Elephas maximus indicus: one gene and its partner. The protein of the gene in region 1 purifies or fractionates together with the protein of each later gene. This does not show direct contact. Links are inferred from orthologs where the notes say so. Each region holds a gene or a part of one and is shown on either strand. Other genes may lie near its edges.

Evidence for each region. Proteins that work in one complex are often made in the same cells at the same time.
Region 2: the proteins of PPP2R1A (region 1) and PPP2R3C purify together in Homo sapiens (co-immunoprecipitation; 3 studies listed by BioGRID and IntAct, with this or other methods). This does not show direct contact. The link is inferred for Elephas maximus indicus from reciprocal best matches to the Homo sapiens genes PPP2R1A and PPP2R3C.

The regions. Positions count from the first base shown.
Region 1 is NC_064829.1:94,755,187-94,763,013, forward strand, and holds the start of PPP2R1A (serine/threonine-protein phosphatase 2A 65 kDa regulatory subunit A alpha isoform), read right to left. Parts: upstream 3,032-7,827; 5' UTR 2,952-3,031; coding exon 2,874-2,951; intron 1-2,873. UniProt on the Homo sapiens protein: The PR65 subunit of protein phosphatase 2A serves as a scaffolding molecule to coordinate the assembly of the catalytic subunit and a variable regulatory B subunit.
Region 2 is NC_064828.1:47,442,832-47,450,049, forward strand, and holds the start of PPP2R3C (serine/threonine-protein phosphatase 2A regulatory subunit B'' subunit gamma), read right to left. Parts: upstream 3,104-7,218; 5' UTR 3,080-3,103; coding exon 3,022-3,079; intron 1-3,021. Other genes in the region: PRORP (mitochondrial ribonuclease P catalytic subunit), read left to right, coding at 4,386-5,374, 7,054-7,101. UniProt on the Homo sapiens protein: May regulate MCM3AP phosphorylation through phosphatase recruitment. May act as a negative regulator of ABCB1 expression and function through the dephosphorylation of ABCB1 by TFPI2/PPP2R3C complex.

The DNA of each region.
Region 1 (7,827 bases):
AATGACAGGTCAGCAGTTTGAAACTGCCAGCTGCTCTGCGGGAGAAAAGATCTGGTCATCTGCTTCTATAAAGATTATAGCCTAGAAAACCCTATGGGGCAATTCTACTCTGTCACATAGGGTTGCCATGAGTCGAAATCAACTCAGTGGCACACACCGACAACCATCCACCCACTAAGTTAGGCCATTTGTTACAGCAGCAATAGAACTGGAATAAAGAAAAGAAACCTAAAAATACCAAGCTCCTTTGCGCCTCCAGGCTTTCCCAGAAGGCAGCCCCCCTCAACCTCAGTACTACAGACATTTTGGGCTGGACAGCTCTGTTGTGGAAGGCTATGCTGTGCATTGCAGGATGTTTAGCAGCATCTCTGATCTCTCCCACTAGGTGCTAGTAGGACTCCTCCAGTTGTGACAACCCAAAATGTTTCCAGGCATTGAAAAATGTCCCCTTAGGGGCAAAATCACCCTGGGTTGAGAACTATTGCCATTAAATGTCTTTTCTTGGAAGGCTCTTCACCTTCTCTTGAGCTTCACAGCCTCAGAGAGGCCTTCCTGCATCTCCTAAAATGGATCGCCCCCACCCCACTTTGTACGGATCCTGTCCTCTGCCCAGAGAGCCTCATGGCTCTTTACCTTGCCTCCATTGGGTCTTTGCTCTAATGTCTCCTCAGCAGGGCCACCTTAAGCACTCTTCTAAAAATCGCACCCCATCTCTCCTTATTTTTCTCCATGCTACTTATCCCCTTCTAACGTACTATACATTTTCCTTACTGTCTTGTTTATTGTCACTACATCTTAAGCTCTGAGAAGCTGGGAATTTTTGTGCCTTTTTCCCTGCTGTATCCCTGTGCCTAGAACAGTGCCCCGTAGAAGAGTAGAGGCCCAACAGATATTTACTAGTTCACTAACCCAACTTGTTTGTTTCCTTCCCACCACTTCTCACACGATGTTCACATGCTTCACACCTGTCTCCTGCATAGTAGCTGGTGCCACCTATATTCCCAGCACCACACTTGATACACGTTATTATTGTTGTTAGTTGCCTTGGAGTTGATTTCGACTCATGGTGACTCCACGTGTGTCAGAGTAGAACTGCTTTCAAGGCTGTGACTTTTCAGAAGCAGATTGCCAGGCCAGGTCAGGCCAGGCCTGTCTTCCAAAGCACCTGTGAGTGGGTTCATACTGTCCACCTTTTGGCTAGCAGTTGAGCGCTTTAACCATCTCCGCCACCCAGGTACTCCTATCCGATACATTAAAAAAAAAAACAAAAACCACTGCTGTGGAGTCAATTTTGACTCATAGCAACCCTGTAGGACAGAGTAGAACTGCCCCATAGGGTTTCCGAGGTTGTAATGTTTAAGGAAACAGACTGCAGTGTCTTTCTTCCGAGCCAGCACCAACCTTTCACCAACCTTTGGGTGAACAGGTGACCTGTTGCCGAGCGCTTTAACCACTGTGCCTGCCACCAAGGCTCCTTACCAGATACATGGCAAGTGTTTATCGAACAACTCAATTCATAGAACACCCCTACGAACTAGGTAATTATCCCCATTGGACAGAAGAGGAAACCAAGGCTTAGCGAGATTAACTAACTTGCTCCTGTCAGTTGGTAAGGGGGAGGAGCCAGGAATACAAGCAGAGCCTGTCTGACTCCAGAACAAGAGTCTGGAGCCTCGGAGCCTGAGCGCCGCTTTCCAAGTGGACCCCTTTCCCTCAATTTTACAAATGGGAAATTGAGGCCCAAAAGATGGGACATCTTCAATCACCACTTCCAATAATTACAGCTAACATTTATTGGGCCCTTACAATAGGCCAAGCTTTACTTGCATTATTAACTTGTTCAGTTCTCTCAACCACCCAAGGAGACCAGGACTATCATTAGGCCACGATTATGGCAAACAGAGGTTTAGAAGGGTGTGGTAATGTGCGAAGGTCACACAACTGGAGGGAAGTGGACATGGGAAGGGCACTCAGGTTACTAACCACGAAGCCGTGTTGTTAACTTGCATCAACTTTATTCTGACTCATGGCGACGCCATGTGCGCACAGTAGAACTGCTCCATAGGGTTTTCAAGGCTAAGACCTTTGGGAGGCGGATCGCCAGTCCTTTCTTCAGAGATGCCTTAACTCTTCTCAATTCCTCCCCAGACGGGCTCACGGCTCTGGGCCCCCCTATTCCCATACGCCTCGCTCATCACAAAAATATAGCACGTTTAGGAAACTGCGCATCCCCCATCCAATGGGAAAACTGGGGGGAGAAGAGAGCGGGTTTCTACAAAATTCGCTTCTAAAATTGGCTAGTTCACTCCTTAGAGGATTGTTTTTCCGTGCCCCTCCTCTTCGGGCGTCTACATCAACATTGGAAGGGGGAACGCAGGAATTGGGAAGAAAGCCTTCAGCCATCGGTACCATTTGGGTAGAGCTGATCCCCTAGCACTGCGGCCCAGATGCCCAAACCCAGGAAAGAGTAAACCTACCCGGGACCCAGCCAAACAGGAGGCCCCTCCCCCACGGAACTAGTCACGCGCCCAGCCCATCCCCAAGGGACCATTTGGGCCACAGCCAATCTCTCCCCCACCCAGGTGGCAGACCCCCCCTCCCCGCGTGGCCTTGGCCTCCCACCCCCGGAGCCGCCGCGCGCACTTGGCAGGCCTGGGACCCTTCGGCCCGCGCTCCCGCCCTCCGCTGTGTCGACACCCAATCCAGAACACTGTCTCATCGGGTTCAGGGAACCGGAGACATAAGAACTGGGCGCTGATTGGCCGGCGCCCCCTTCCGCCACTCCCAGCGAACACTGAGCCTTGTCCGCGAGGATCGCCCGCGCCCCTACGTCCCCCTTCCCGTCTTCCCCGAGTCCCCTGTAGCTTCGGGACCTGAACATCCTCGTTGCGGAGCTCGTCTATGAGCACCGCGATGGGGTACAGCGAGTCGTCGCCGTCGGCCGCCGCCATCTTCGCTCTGTCCCGTTCTTGTCAGACTGCGGCCAGCGCCGGGCTGAAACCGGGATGGGGAGGGGCGGGGCTGGGAGGAGGAGGAAAGACGGGCGTGGGGGCGCCCGAGCCACTTTACAGGGGCTGCCCTACGGTCATTGGCCGTGCTACGGCGGGCCAAGTCTGCGTCTCGTTGGTCCGGGCAAATAAAGTCCCGCCTACTGTCCATTTGCCATTGGTCGAATGGACGAGATTGGACTTGAAGAAGCCTTGGAGAGTGGGAAGGAAACGGAAGTATGCGGTATCCTAGCGACCAGGATTGTGCCCACCTACGTTGCCGCTAACAACGGCAGAGACGAACAGTTGATTCTAGCCAATGAGAGACGGGATTGGGAGGAGGCGAAGCCTGTCCTTCGGCGAGTCCGGGAGGAGGGTTCTGCGCGTGCGTCGCTAGGGATGAATTACGTCATGGGGTGACCCGGGTAGTCTGAGGGATTTGACTTGTGAGGCGGTGGCCAGGCTGGTTGGCGGCAGACTCTCTTGGACTTTTTTGCGGGAGAAGGAGGAGGGGAGAGAAAGGGTCCTTGATTTATGTCCGGGGAAACCGAAGGTCAGGGAAGGGTGGCGACCTGCCTTGCTCCCTGGATAAAACGCAAGCCTCGCGAGCTGGTATTTAAATTAAAAACTGTTGTGGTTTTGAATAGGTATTACTGTGCTTACGTTCCCCTCTCGTTTTTACCCTCCAGCAGTTCTGGAAAATTAGAGCCATCTATGCACATCTTGCACATCTTGGAGCTCTGGTAACACAGTGGTTAAGAGCTCAGGCTACTAAGCAAAAGGTTGGCAGTTCAAATCCACCTGTCGCTCCTTGGAAATCCTTTGGGGCAGTTCCACCCTGTCCTACAGAGTCACCATGAGTTGAAACTGACTAGATGGCAACGGGTTTGGTTTGGGTGCACATCTTGCTTTTCCATGCCAACAAGCCTTTGCTCGAGCTGTACTTTCTACTTGGAGTGCACTGTACATAAATGTCTTCTCTTTCCTTGGTGTCGCAAATGGTTTGTGCTCGATTACTAACCTAAAGGTTGGCACTTCAAATCCACCCAGTGGTGCCTTGGAAAAAAGTCCTGTCGATCTATTTCTGTAACGATTAAACAAACGAAAACCCATTGTGTTGCGTTGAGTTGATTCTGACTCATAGTGACCCTATAGTACAGAGTGGAGCTGCCTGATAGGGTTTCCAAGGCTCTCAGTCTTTAAAGAAGCAGATTGCCACATCTTTCTCCTGTGGAGCAGCTGGTGGGTTTGAACAGCCAAGCTTTCAGTTAACAGGCAGGCATTTAACCGCTGCGCCACCAGAGCTCCTTCTGTAAAGATTTACAAGAAAACCCTATGGAACACAGTTCTACTCTGTAACACAAGGGGTCACCAAGGGCCTTCCCTGCTTTCCCTGCCTTCAGGTTCAGTCCTCCGGCCCTCCAGAGCCAAAGAACATCCCTCTCTCAAAGTTCTCATCCCTAGAGCGAGCTGTGCCTTTGTATTGCAATCTGCCTCCTCCATAGAATGGGAGCAGGGTTTGGTCAGATTCGGATCTGTTCCCAACCTCTCTCTGAACAGCCCTGCACGTGAAATCCTGGGACCACCCTTACTGAGGGTCCTGCTGGAGGGGATAGGAAGGCCTGAAATGACCCTTCCCGCTTTATTACTCTCACTTGAAGGGCTGGGCTGAGCTAGGGCCCCTTGACAAGTATGAATATCCCAAGTATCTTTTCCAAACAGCCATGCCATGCCAGTCAGGAAACTAATCCTTGGGGAGGGGTACATATTTTAGCCCCTGCCCTTCATATACCCAGGCTTCCCCACTGAAGCCCATTGAAGCCATGGATCTTCTTACCTAAGGATGCCTGCCCTGATGTCAGACTGCTTGGGATCTTGGGCTGGGGTCCTTTTAACCTTTAGGTGCCTAGGAAAAACCTTCCTGTCCAGTCCATTCAGACTCATGGAAACCCCATATGTTACAAGTAGAACTGCTTCACGGGTTTTCAAGGCTGTAATTTTTACAGGAAGCAGATTTCCAGGCTTTCTTCTGCAGCATCACTGGGTAGGTTCAAACCTCCAACTTTTAGGTTAGTAGTTGAGCACAAACCCTTTGTGCCACACAGGGATTTTCAAAGGCCTATAACACTTTTTTTTCCCCCAGAGACAAAAAGAAGAAATTTTTGGTTCCAAAATGCCAAAACAAAGCCACAAACTTTAATAAGTATTTGAGAACTACCTATACAATTAAAATATCAATGCAATGATAATAATTGTAGTAAAATGAAGCCCTGGTGGCATAGTGGTTAAGGGCTAGGCTGGTAACCAAAAGGTTGGCAGTTCAAATCCACCAGCTGCTCCTTGGAAACCCTATGGGGTAGTTCTGCTCTGTCCTATAGGGTCAATATGAGTCAGAATCAACTCGACGGCAACAACAAAATGTACTCTATGAATTAATTCATTTAATGCTCAAAACAGATCTATGACATAAGGTGGTATCATTATCATCCAAATGAAAGGATGCTTGCAGCTGTTTCTTCTCATGACTTGTGCCACATCAGCAAATGAAGGTCCCAAAAGCTTGACTCCATTCACGTCATTAAGGTTGACTCTACTTTGAGGAGGCACCTCTTTCCCAGTCGTCTTTTGAGTGTCTTCCAACCTGAGGGGCTCATCTTCTGGCACCGTATCAGACAATGTTCCGCTGGTATTCACAAGGCTTTTTCTGGCTAATTTTTTCAAAAGCGGGCTGCCAGGTCCTTCTTCCTAGTCTGTCTTAATGTGAAAGCTCAGCTGAAACCTGTCTGCCATGGGCGATCCTGCTGGTATTTGAATACCAGTGGCACAGCTTCCAGCATTACAGCAGCACGCAAACCCCCACAGTAAGACAAAGTGACAGACCATCAGTTGCTCATATGCAAGTGCAAGTTGAAGCTGAAGAAAGCTAGAACAAGTTCACAAGAGCCAAAGTAAGACTTTGAGTATATCCCACCTGCATTTAGAGACCATCTCAAGAATAGATTTGATGCATTGAGTATAACAATGATTATAAGGATGGTGCAGGACCAGGCAGTATTTCATTCTGTGGTACACAGGGTCACTATGAGTTGGAACCAGCGCGACGGCACCTAACAACAACAACAACATTGAACTGTAATGACCGAAGACCGGACGAGTTGTGGAATGACATCAAGGAAATCATACATGAAGAAAGCAAGAAGTCATTTAAAAGACAAGAAAGTAAGAAAAGACCAAAATAGATGTCAGAAGAGACTTTGAAACTTGTACTTGAACATTGAGTAGCTAAAGCAAATGAAAGAAATGATAAGGTAAAAGAGCTGAACAGAAGTTTTCAAAGGGCGGCCCAAGAAGACAAAGTAAAGTATTATAATGACATGTTCAAAGACCTGAAGTTAGAACCAAAAGGTAAGAACACACCCAGCATTTCTCAAGCTGAGAGAACTGAAGAAAAAATTCAAGCCTCGAATTGCAATATTGAAGGATTCTACAGCGAAAATTTTAAACAGCCCAGGAAGCATCAAAAGAAGATGGAAAGAATACACAGAGTCACTGTACCAAAAAGAATTGGTCGACAGTCACACATTTCGGGAGGTAGCGTATGATCAAGAACCAATGGTACTGAAGGAAGAAGTCCAAGCTGCACTGAAGGCATTGGTGAAAAAAAGGCTCCAGGAATTGACAGAATACCAACTGAGATGTTTCACCAAATGGATGCAGCACTGAAAGTACTCACTCATCTATGCCAAGAAATTTGGAAGACAGCTACCTGGCCAATGATTGGAGGAGATTCATATTTATGCCTATTCCAAAGAAAGGTGATCCCACTGAATGTAGAAATTATCAAACCATATTCTTAATATCACACACAAGTAAAATTTTGCTAAAGATCATTCAAAAGCGGCTGCAGTAGTATATCAACAAGGAACCGCCAAAAATTCAAGCCTGATTCAGAAGAGGACCAGGGATATCATTGCTGATGTCAGATGGATCCTAGCTGAAAGCAGAGAATACAAGAAAGATGTTTTACCAGTGTTTTATTGACTATGCAAAGGCATCCCACTGTGTGGATCATAACAAATTATGGATAACACTGCGAAGAATGGGAATCCCAGAGTACTTAATTGTGCTCATGAGGAACCTGTACACAGATCAGGAAGCAGTTATTGGAACAGAACAAGGGAATACTGTGTGACTTAAGGAAAGGTGTGCATCAGGGTTGAATCCTTTCACCATATCTATTCAATCTGTGTGCTGAACAAATAATCTGGGAAGCTGGACTATATGAAGAAGAACGTGCCATCTGGATTAGAGGAAGACTCAAATTAACAACCTGCATTATGCAGATGACATGACCTTGCTTGCTGAAAGTGAAGAGGACTTGAAGCACTTACTGATGAAGATCAAAGACCACGGGCTTCAGTATGGATTACACCTCAGCGTAAAGAAAACAAAAATCCTCACAACTGGACCAATAAGCAACATCGTGGAAAGCAGAGAAAAAATTGAAGTTGTCAAGGATTTCATTTTATTTGGATCCCCAATCAACACCCATGGAAGCAGTAGTCAAGAAATCAAAAGACCTAGTGCATTGGGCTGCAAAAGACCTCTTTAAAGTGTTAAAAAGCAAAGATGTTACTTTAAGGACTAAGGTGCCCCTGAACCAAGCCATAGTGTTTTCAATCACCTCATATGCATCCAAAAGCTGGACAATGAATAAGGAAGACAAAAGAATTATTATGATGTTGGTGAAGAATATTGAATATACCATGGACTGCCAGAAGAACAAACAAATCTGTCTCAGAAGAAGTACAGCCAGAATGTTCCTTAGAAACAAGGATAA
Region 2 (7,218 bases), on another chromosome or scaffold:
CAACTCTAAAAGATTTCACCTCTACTCCACTTCTGTCACTCAGTTTCACAGAAAGACCATGGGTCTTACCTAGTCCTCTTCTGAAATCTTAAAGTTTAATATCATATCAAATCATAATTTTCCCTTTCTTTTGGGTACTTAAAAAAAAAATCAAACCCATTGCTATTGAGTCAACTTCAACTCTTAGTGGCACTACAGGACAGAGTAGAACTGCCCACAGAATTTCTAACACTGTAATGTTTGCAGAAGCAGACCATCACATCTTTTCTCCTGTGGAGTGGATGGTAGGTTTGAACTGCCAACCTTTTGGTTAGGAGCCAAGTCACTGTGCCACCAGGGTTCCTAGTAGGTATTTACCAAAAACCAAACCAAACCCACTGGCATCGAGTCGATTCCAACTTATAGTGACCCTATAGGACAGACTAGAACTGCCTCATAGACTTCTAGGGCTGTAAATCTTTACGGAAGCATCCTGCCATATCTTTCTCCTGTAGTGTGGCTGGTGGGTTCGAACTGCTGACCTTTCATTAGCAGCCAAGCGCGTAACTACTGCACTATCAGGGCTCCTAAACCCCCTGCCGTCGAGTTGATTCCAACTCATAGCGACCCTATGGGACAAAGTAGAACCACCCAATAGGGTTTCCAAGGAGCGGCTGGTGGATTGTAACTGCCCACCTTTGGGTTAGCAGCCAAGCTTTAACCACTGCACCACCAGGGCTCCCCATGTTTCCTAGTAGGTACTTAAACCAAACCAAACCTGTTGCTGTCAAGTTGATTCCAACTCATAGCAACCCTATAGGACAGGGTAGAACTGCCCCACAGGATATCCAAGGAGTGGCTGGTAGAGTCTAACTGCTGAGCTTTTGGTTAGCAGCTGAACTCTTAACCACTGTGCCACCTGAGGTCCAAAAAAGTCATTGCTGTTCAGTCAATCCTGATTCATAGCAACCCTAAAGGACAGAGTAGAACTGCCCTTTAGGTTGTCCTAGGAGTAGTTGGTGGATTTGAACTGCCAACCTTTTGGTTAGCTGCCTGAGCTCTTAACCACTGTACCACCAGGGCTCCAGTAAGTACTTAAAAAAAAAAAAAAGAAGAACCTGTTGCCAAGCTGGTTCTGACTCAGTGACCCTACAGGACAAAGTAGAGCTGCCCTATACGGTTTCCAAAGACAGCCTGGTAGATTCAAACTGCTGACCTTTTGGTTAGCAGCCAAACTCTTAACCACTATGCCATCAGGTTTTCTACTAGGAGGTATTTAGTAGGTGCTAAACAAATGTTTTTTGAAATGGATTTACGGAATGGATTAGCCTAAGCCACTCTGAATGCTTAAGGGTAGTATTTAGACATATAGCCATCATTCTCCTAGTCACAGTTTTTAACGTATTCAAATTTGTTGCTACAGACAGAATCCACATGCACGAACACAACCATGCACTGACCAGCAACCCAGCCGTAGAAGAATAAAAACTGATGATACAGAAGACAGGACAACTGCATGAGTACATTCTTGAGTAGGTAAGAATGGGATCTAGCACAAAGGATGGGATCTAAAATGCTGATGAAGGAAACAGCCTTAAACAGGACCTTGTATAATGTATATAATTTACTAATTATTTTCTTTATTGTCTCTCCCCACACTAAAGTGTAAGTTCTATAAGGACAGGGATTTTTGTCTGTTTTGTTCACTGCACAGCTAGAACAGTATTTGAAATATAACAGGCATACAATAAATATCTGTGAAAGAATAAAGTTGAGTTCAAAAGAGAACAGTAGGAGAAAGTGGAAAAAGTACAAGTATAGACAACTATTCTGAGAAGCTTTCCTACAATGGGTTCAGAGAAATATGTCAGAAGCTAGAGGGGGATGTGGGACCAAATGATTTTTGTTAAGATACAGGAATATTACAGCATGTTTGTCAGTAATGATGGAAATGATCCAGTAGAGAAGGGAAATCTGATGATGCATGAGAGAGGACAATGCAGGAGTGAACTCAGTGAATAGGAGGGAATGCTCTAATGCTAGAGGAGAAGGACTGTCTCAAATAGAAGCATGGACAGTTAGTTCATCATTTTAACAGTAAGACTGTATGGGCATCTATGTAGGGGCAGACAGAAATGGTAAATGGGAGCAGGTGAGGTTCTCCTCTGCTTGTTTCTATTCTCTCAGTGATGTAAAAAACAAGTTCATCACAAGCAGGGAGTGGGTAGGACATACTGGAGATATGAGGAGAGAGAAGGAGTGAAAAGAATTACCTTAGAGTATAGGAGAGTTAACATCTAGAAAGCATGGTAAACCAAAAAAACCCAAACTGGTTGCTATCCAGTCGATTCCGACTCATAGTGGCCCTTCAGGACACAGGAGAACTGGCCCTCGGAGTTTCTAAGGAACGGCTGGTGGATTGGAACTGCCAACCTTTTGGTTAGCAGCCAAACGCTTAACCACTGTGCCACCAGGGAAAGCATGGTAAAAGTGTCTAAAAGACCTAGTTTAGGTTACTGGGCACGAATTAAAAGAGAGAACTCATCACGGTTCTGTTTTTTCCAGTCACTTTCAGCTTCCCTGGGTGCAGGGAAATAAGAAGAAAGACGGATTTAACCAGATTGGTTAACAGGTTGAGTGTGAAGAAAAGGAAAGGGACAAGAAAACTGGATTCTGAAATCAAAGACAGGTAGGCAGGGAAATAAGCACAAGAAGTGTGACAGTAAAAGGCGGCAAGATCAATGGGTTAAAGTTCTGGTAGGGTCTGAGAGTTGTTGGAGCCGGGGTTCTCAGTTATTCCTCACAAGTCTAAGTGAAGACCATGGAAGTGAATGACTCTTCTTCACCTCAATCCTCTCAATGGAAAGTTCAGACCAAACCTCTCTGGATTCGAAACCACAATCCACTCCGCCCCCTTTGTCAGGGGCGGCTTTACAGAAGGGAAGAGTGAGGCTCCCAGTGGTTCCTCCTTCCCATTATTCCCCATCCGACCCCCGAAGTTTGGGCCGGGTTATCCCAGCCGGTGGCCCTTTCCAAACTCACTGTGTGGACCGGTGTTAGGTGTCGCTAACCGCCGGCGAAGAACTTCTTTCCAGTCCATGGCGAACTCCGCGCTGCAGCTCCTGCATTTGCTTTTGACTAACTGCACCACCCCCGACCAGCTCGGACGTCAGATGCCTCCCGGTAACCGAAAGGGTTGGGAAAGCGGCTCAACCGGCCATCTTGGACATGGGCGGAAGTCTGGGTTAAAGAAACAAAAACGATTACGGTAGTAGTCGCGGAGAATACGGCGATTACGCTACGGTCGGAAAGCAGAAGTTAAAAAGGAAAATGGTTCTCCTTAAGGAGTCTTCCCAACCTCATCCATCTCGATTTTAAAGGGGCCGGATAAAGAAAGCCGTGCTTTTTTTCGTCTTGGTTCTTTAACGCGTGTCTGCCACGTGACTCAGGAGTCCACTGGAGTTTCCGGCTCAGGGGGAGGGCTTTTTTCCTTCACAATTTGTTTCCCTTGTTCATTGCGGTTATCTGGAGGCCCTAAAGGTTCCCTGAATCTTATACACGTTTCCAGCAGCGCCTTCTGCCGCTAAAAGCCTCGAAATCACCCTTTTTCTCGTGTCTAGGCCTAGCGGAACGCCCGCGCCCGCTTTGCTCAGGCCCCTGCGGGCCGGGACTGTCCCGGTGCATTGTGGACGCGGTAGTTTCCGCCGTATTTACGGCTGCTTTCAACGTGAGTGATGTGGTGAGTTGTTGAATGAAGTGAATTTTGTTTGTGCTCCATCGGTATGCAGTCAAGGCCGGGCGGTTCGTGGACCTCTCTTCCTTACCTGAGCTGTTGACTCGGCTAACCCCAGTCCACACCCCTTCTGGCCCGTGCTGCGGCCCGGGGAACGGTGGTGAGGGCCCCCTATATTTTGACTTTCGCGTTTGTCTTTGTTGCTGGCGGGCCTGGGTTTAGCAACTCCTGGTCGCGATTTTCGACTTTGCGCCCCCTTTTCAGCAAGGCTGTCAGGGGATCCTGCCCCTTTTGAGGACATTCGTGATCCACGTGAGCTGATATGAGCCCGCCTTGTGCTTTTTCCTCAGGTTCGCGGTGGGGAATATAACAAGCACCGGAGGATCCTAGTTCGGAGAGCAGGATTTTCTGCCGTGTCCCCTAGTTCTGGGGCCTGCCACCGAGGTCGGATATCCCCTGACCGTTGTTTAATGGAGATAGCTAACCGGTCTTCGTTGCTATCATCTATTCCCAAAAGAAGAACCCTGATTTATCTTTAAAGGAGAAACTGGAAGTCTTTTTAAAAGTTGTTCGTCCTCTTCCTACCGCTCCACCCCCAAGCACCTAATTTTGCTGTAGAAGTAGAGGCTTTTTGAACATCTTTCTCGCTATCTGGTGCTGATTTCCCTGCATAATGACTTTCTGTTTGTCTGGGTTTCGAAGCTTTTCTAAGCTTTGGAAGAATAACCCGTACCTTGGGCTAGTCCCAGGATACTCTCCTCACTCTCTCTTTCTCGTGGACAGCTATGGCATCTGGAACCGACAGAGGTGGTTTTCTCTTAAAACAGCGTCTCCACAGAATACCAAAGCACTGAATCTCCTGAAAGCCAAGACCAGATATCACAGGAAAGGAGATGAGGGAAGTAATAAGCAAGTTTCTTCTGATTCTCCTCATCTTTTTGCAGCTGGAGCAGCTCGGAAGAGAGCAGAGATGAATCCTCAGAGTAAAGAGCCTGTCTCATCGCCTCTGAGGGACACTATTCAACTCCCAACAAGACCTTTGAATTCAGAGGAGTGGGATAAACTTAAGGAAGATTTCAAAGGAAAGGGCAATTTCGAAAATTGGATCAGCTCACAGATAACTTACTCTCGTAGCTCTATAGATGTGGCCAAATCTCTGTTGGCGTGGGTAGCTGCAAAAAACAATGGTATTGTAAGCTATGATTTACTGGTGAAGTATTTATATCTCTGTGTCTTTCATAAGCAGAAATCAGAAATTATTGACGTCTATGAAATCATGAAAGTCAGATACAAAATTTTAGAACCAGCGGGTTACAGTCTTCTTATCCGGGGATTAATCCATACAGACAGATGGAGAGAGGCCTTGCTGCTGTTAGAAGACTTCGAAAAAGTCATGATCCCTTCAAAAAGGAACTATGATGACTGTATCCAGGGAGCCCTCCTTCATCAAGATGTAAACACAGCTTGGAATCTGTATCAGAAATTGCTAGGTCATGATCTTATACCTATGTTGGAAACTTTAGAAGCCTTCTTTGATTTTGGAAAAGATATAAAGGACCATCAGTATGCAAACAAACTACTAGACATTCTTTTGTATCTGAGAAATAATCAGCTATATCCTGGGGAGTCATTTGCACATAGTATAAAAGCATGGTTTGAGAGGTAATTGTGAGTTGTTTTTAGATGTGTGCTTTTAATACCTATACATAAAAGTAGCCCATTTTTTTTGGTCATTGCTGAGAACAGTTGTTATTCAGAGTGTACTTATTGTCCATCTCGTAGTAAGATTTGTTTCAAGAAAAAATTTTAAACTTTTTGAAAAAGTTTTTTAAAAAGTAGCAGTGAAAATAATGTGTGTTAGTCTCCACCCATCGCATAAAAGGGAAATTTTAGAGCATTTATAGTTTTCATGTATTTTTTCCTTTTAGAAGGATGATTCGTTTTTTGAGTCACCTAGTATGATGTTGATGCTTAATGGTCAGTACTTGTGACTAGAGTTCATAGGAAGAAAAGGTAATAGCATTTGGCTGGAGCTATTTCTGGTTCACATTAGTATTTTCAGAAATTCCCCTGAAACCTAGCGACTGGTGTGCAGGTATGTATTCTGTTTAGTCTCTGCTCTTCATCAGTTTAGGTGATTAGAGCTGACAGGGGGATCGTGATCAAATCTGATATGCAGATATTAAAATGGGAGATCTTCATGCTTCTAGTTCCTTTGGCTATTTCCATCATTTGGCTGCTTTCTCTCCAAGGCCATCTCCTTTACTTTCCCATTGCTTTTATTTTTTGTTATTGGCTACATGCCTGTTGTTGCTCCAGTCTTTTATTTTTCCACCACTAATTAAAAAAAAAACTAAAAAAAAAAAACTAGTTTTTTTTTAATTTGCTTTAGATTCTTTTTCTAAAAATATATCCCTTCCCTCTGGTTTTCTCTTACTTTTCTACTACAAATCGTATTTATAAAGTGTTGAAGTGAAAATTACACTTAATTGTCTTTTGGGCTAAGTAATCATTCAGTCATTTAACAAAGATTTTGAATACGAGTGGAGGAGTCGTCAGACTGTGAAAATCTTTGAATGCCTGAGAGTCAAGAGTGCTGGTTTTGAAGCGGTATTAGAAAGGGAACTGCCAAGGCATTGAGAAGTGTAGACTGGGGAGGGATTAAGATTGGAAATGGGGAGATCTGTTGGAAGCAATTGTAGGCTTGGGCGAGAAATGATGAGGTCCTAAATAAAGTAACTGGGGAGGTAATGGAACCAATAGGATTTGATGGTAATATATGCAAGGAGAAAGAGTAAAGGTTAAGATGATTGAGCAAATAAATATATAAATAGTTTTTTAATGCCTCCAGTTAGGCTAAGAACTGAGAATGCTTTATGATGGAAGATCTCTTAGGATGGCATCCACACCCTAACTGGGAATACAATACCTGACAGTTAAATAACCGTGGTGTATAAGATAATAACATAAGAGAGAAGTTATTCTGGGCTAGAAAAATCTCTGGCGGCATTGTGGAGAAGGTTAGAGTTGGGTTTTGTTTAGAGGTTACACTACTAAGGTCAACTGCTTTCTATACAGCACCAGTGAGATAAATTTGGAGTTAAAGAAGATGAGAGTAGGGTGGCAGGAGGGGATCTGAGGGGAAGGAGGAAATTCAGAGTAGGGTACATCAGTTCCTTAATCCCATCACAGTGTAACAACCACTTTTCAATTAAACCATTTTAGGAAAATCTTAACTTTTCAGAGCTCTTGCTTACAGAGTTTCTAAATACACTAAATAGCTTTTGATTCAGTAGGAATTTAATCTTGTGATGATTTGGTTTTTACAATCTCTTTTGTAGTGTTCCTGGAGAACAATGGAAAGGACAATTCACCACAATCCAGAAAAGGTAAAGGCCAATTTTTAGTTTACTTTTAACTTGTTTAATTCAGGGTTAGTAGGCTTTGTTGCTATTGGTTAAAAGAAAGGAAAAGAAATTAAGAACACCTTTTTTTTAGGGATAGGA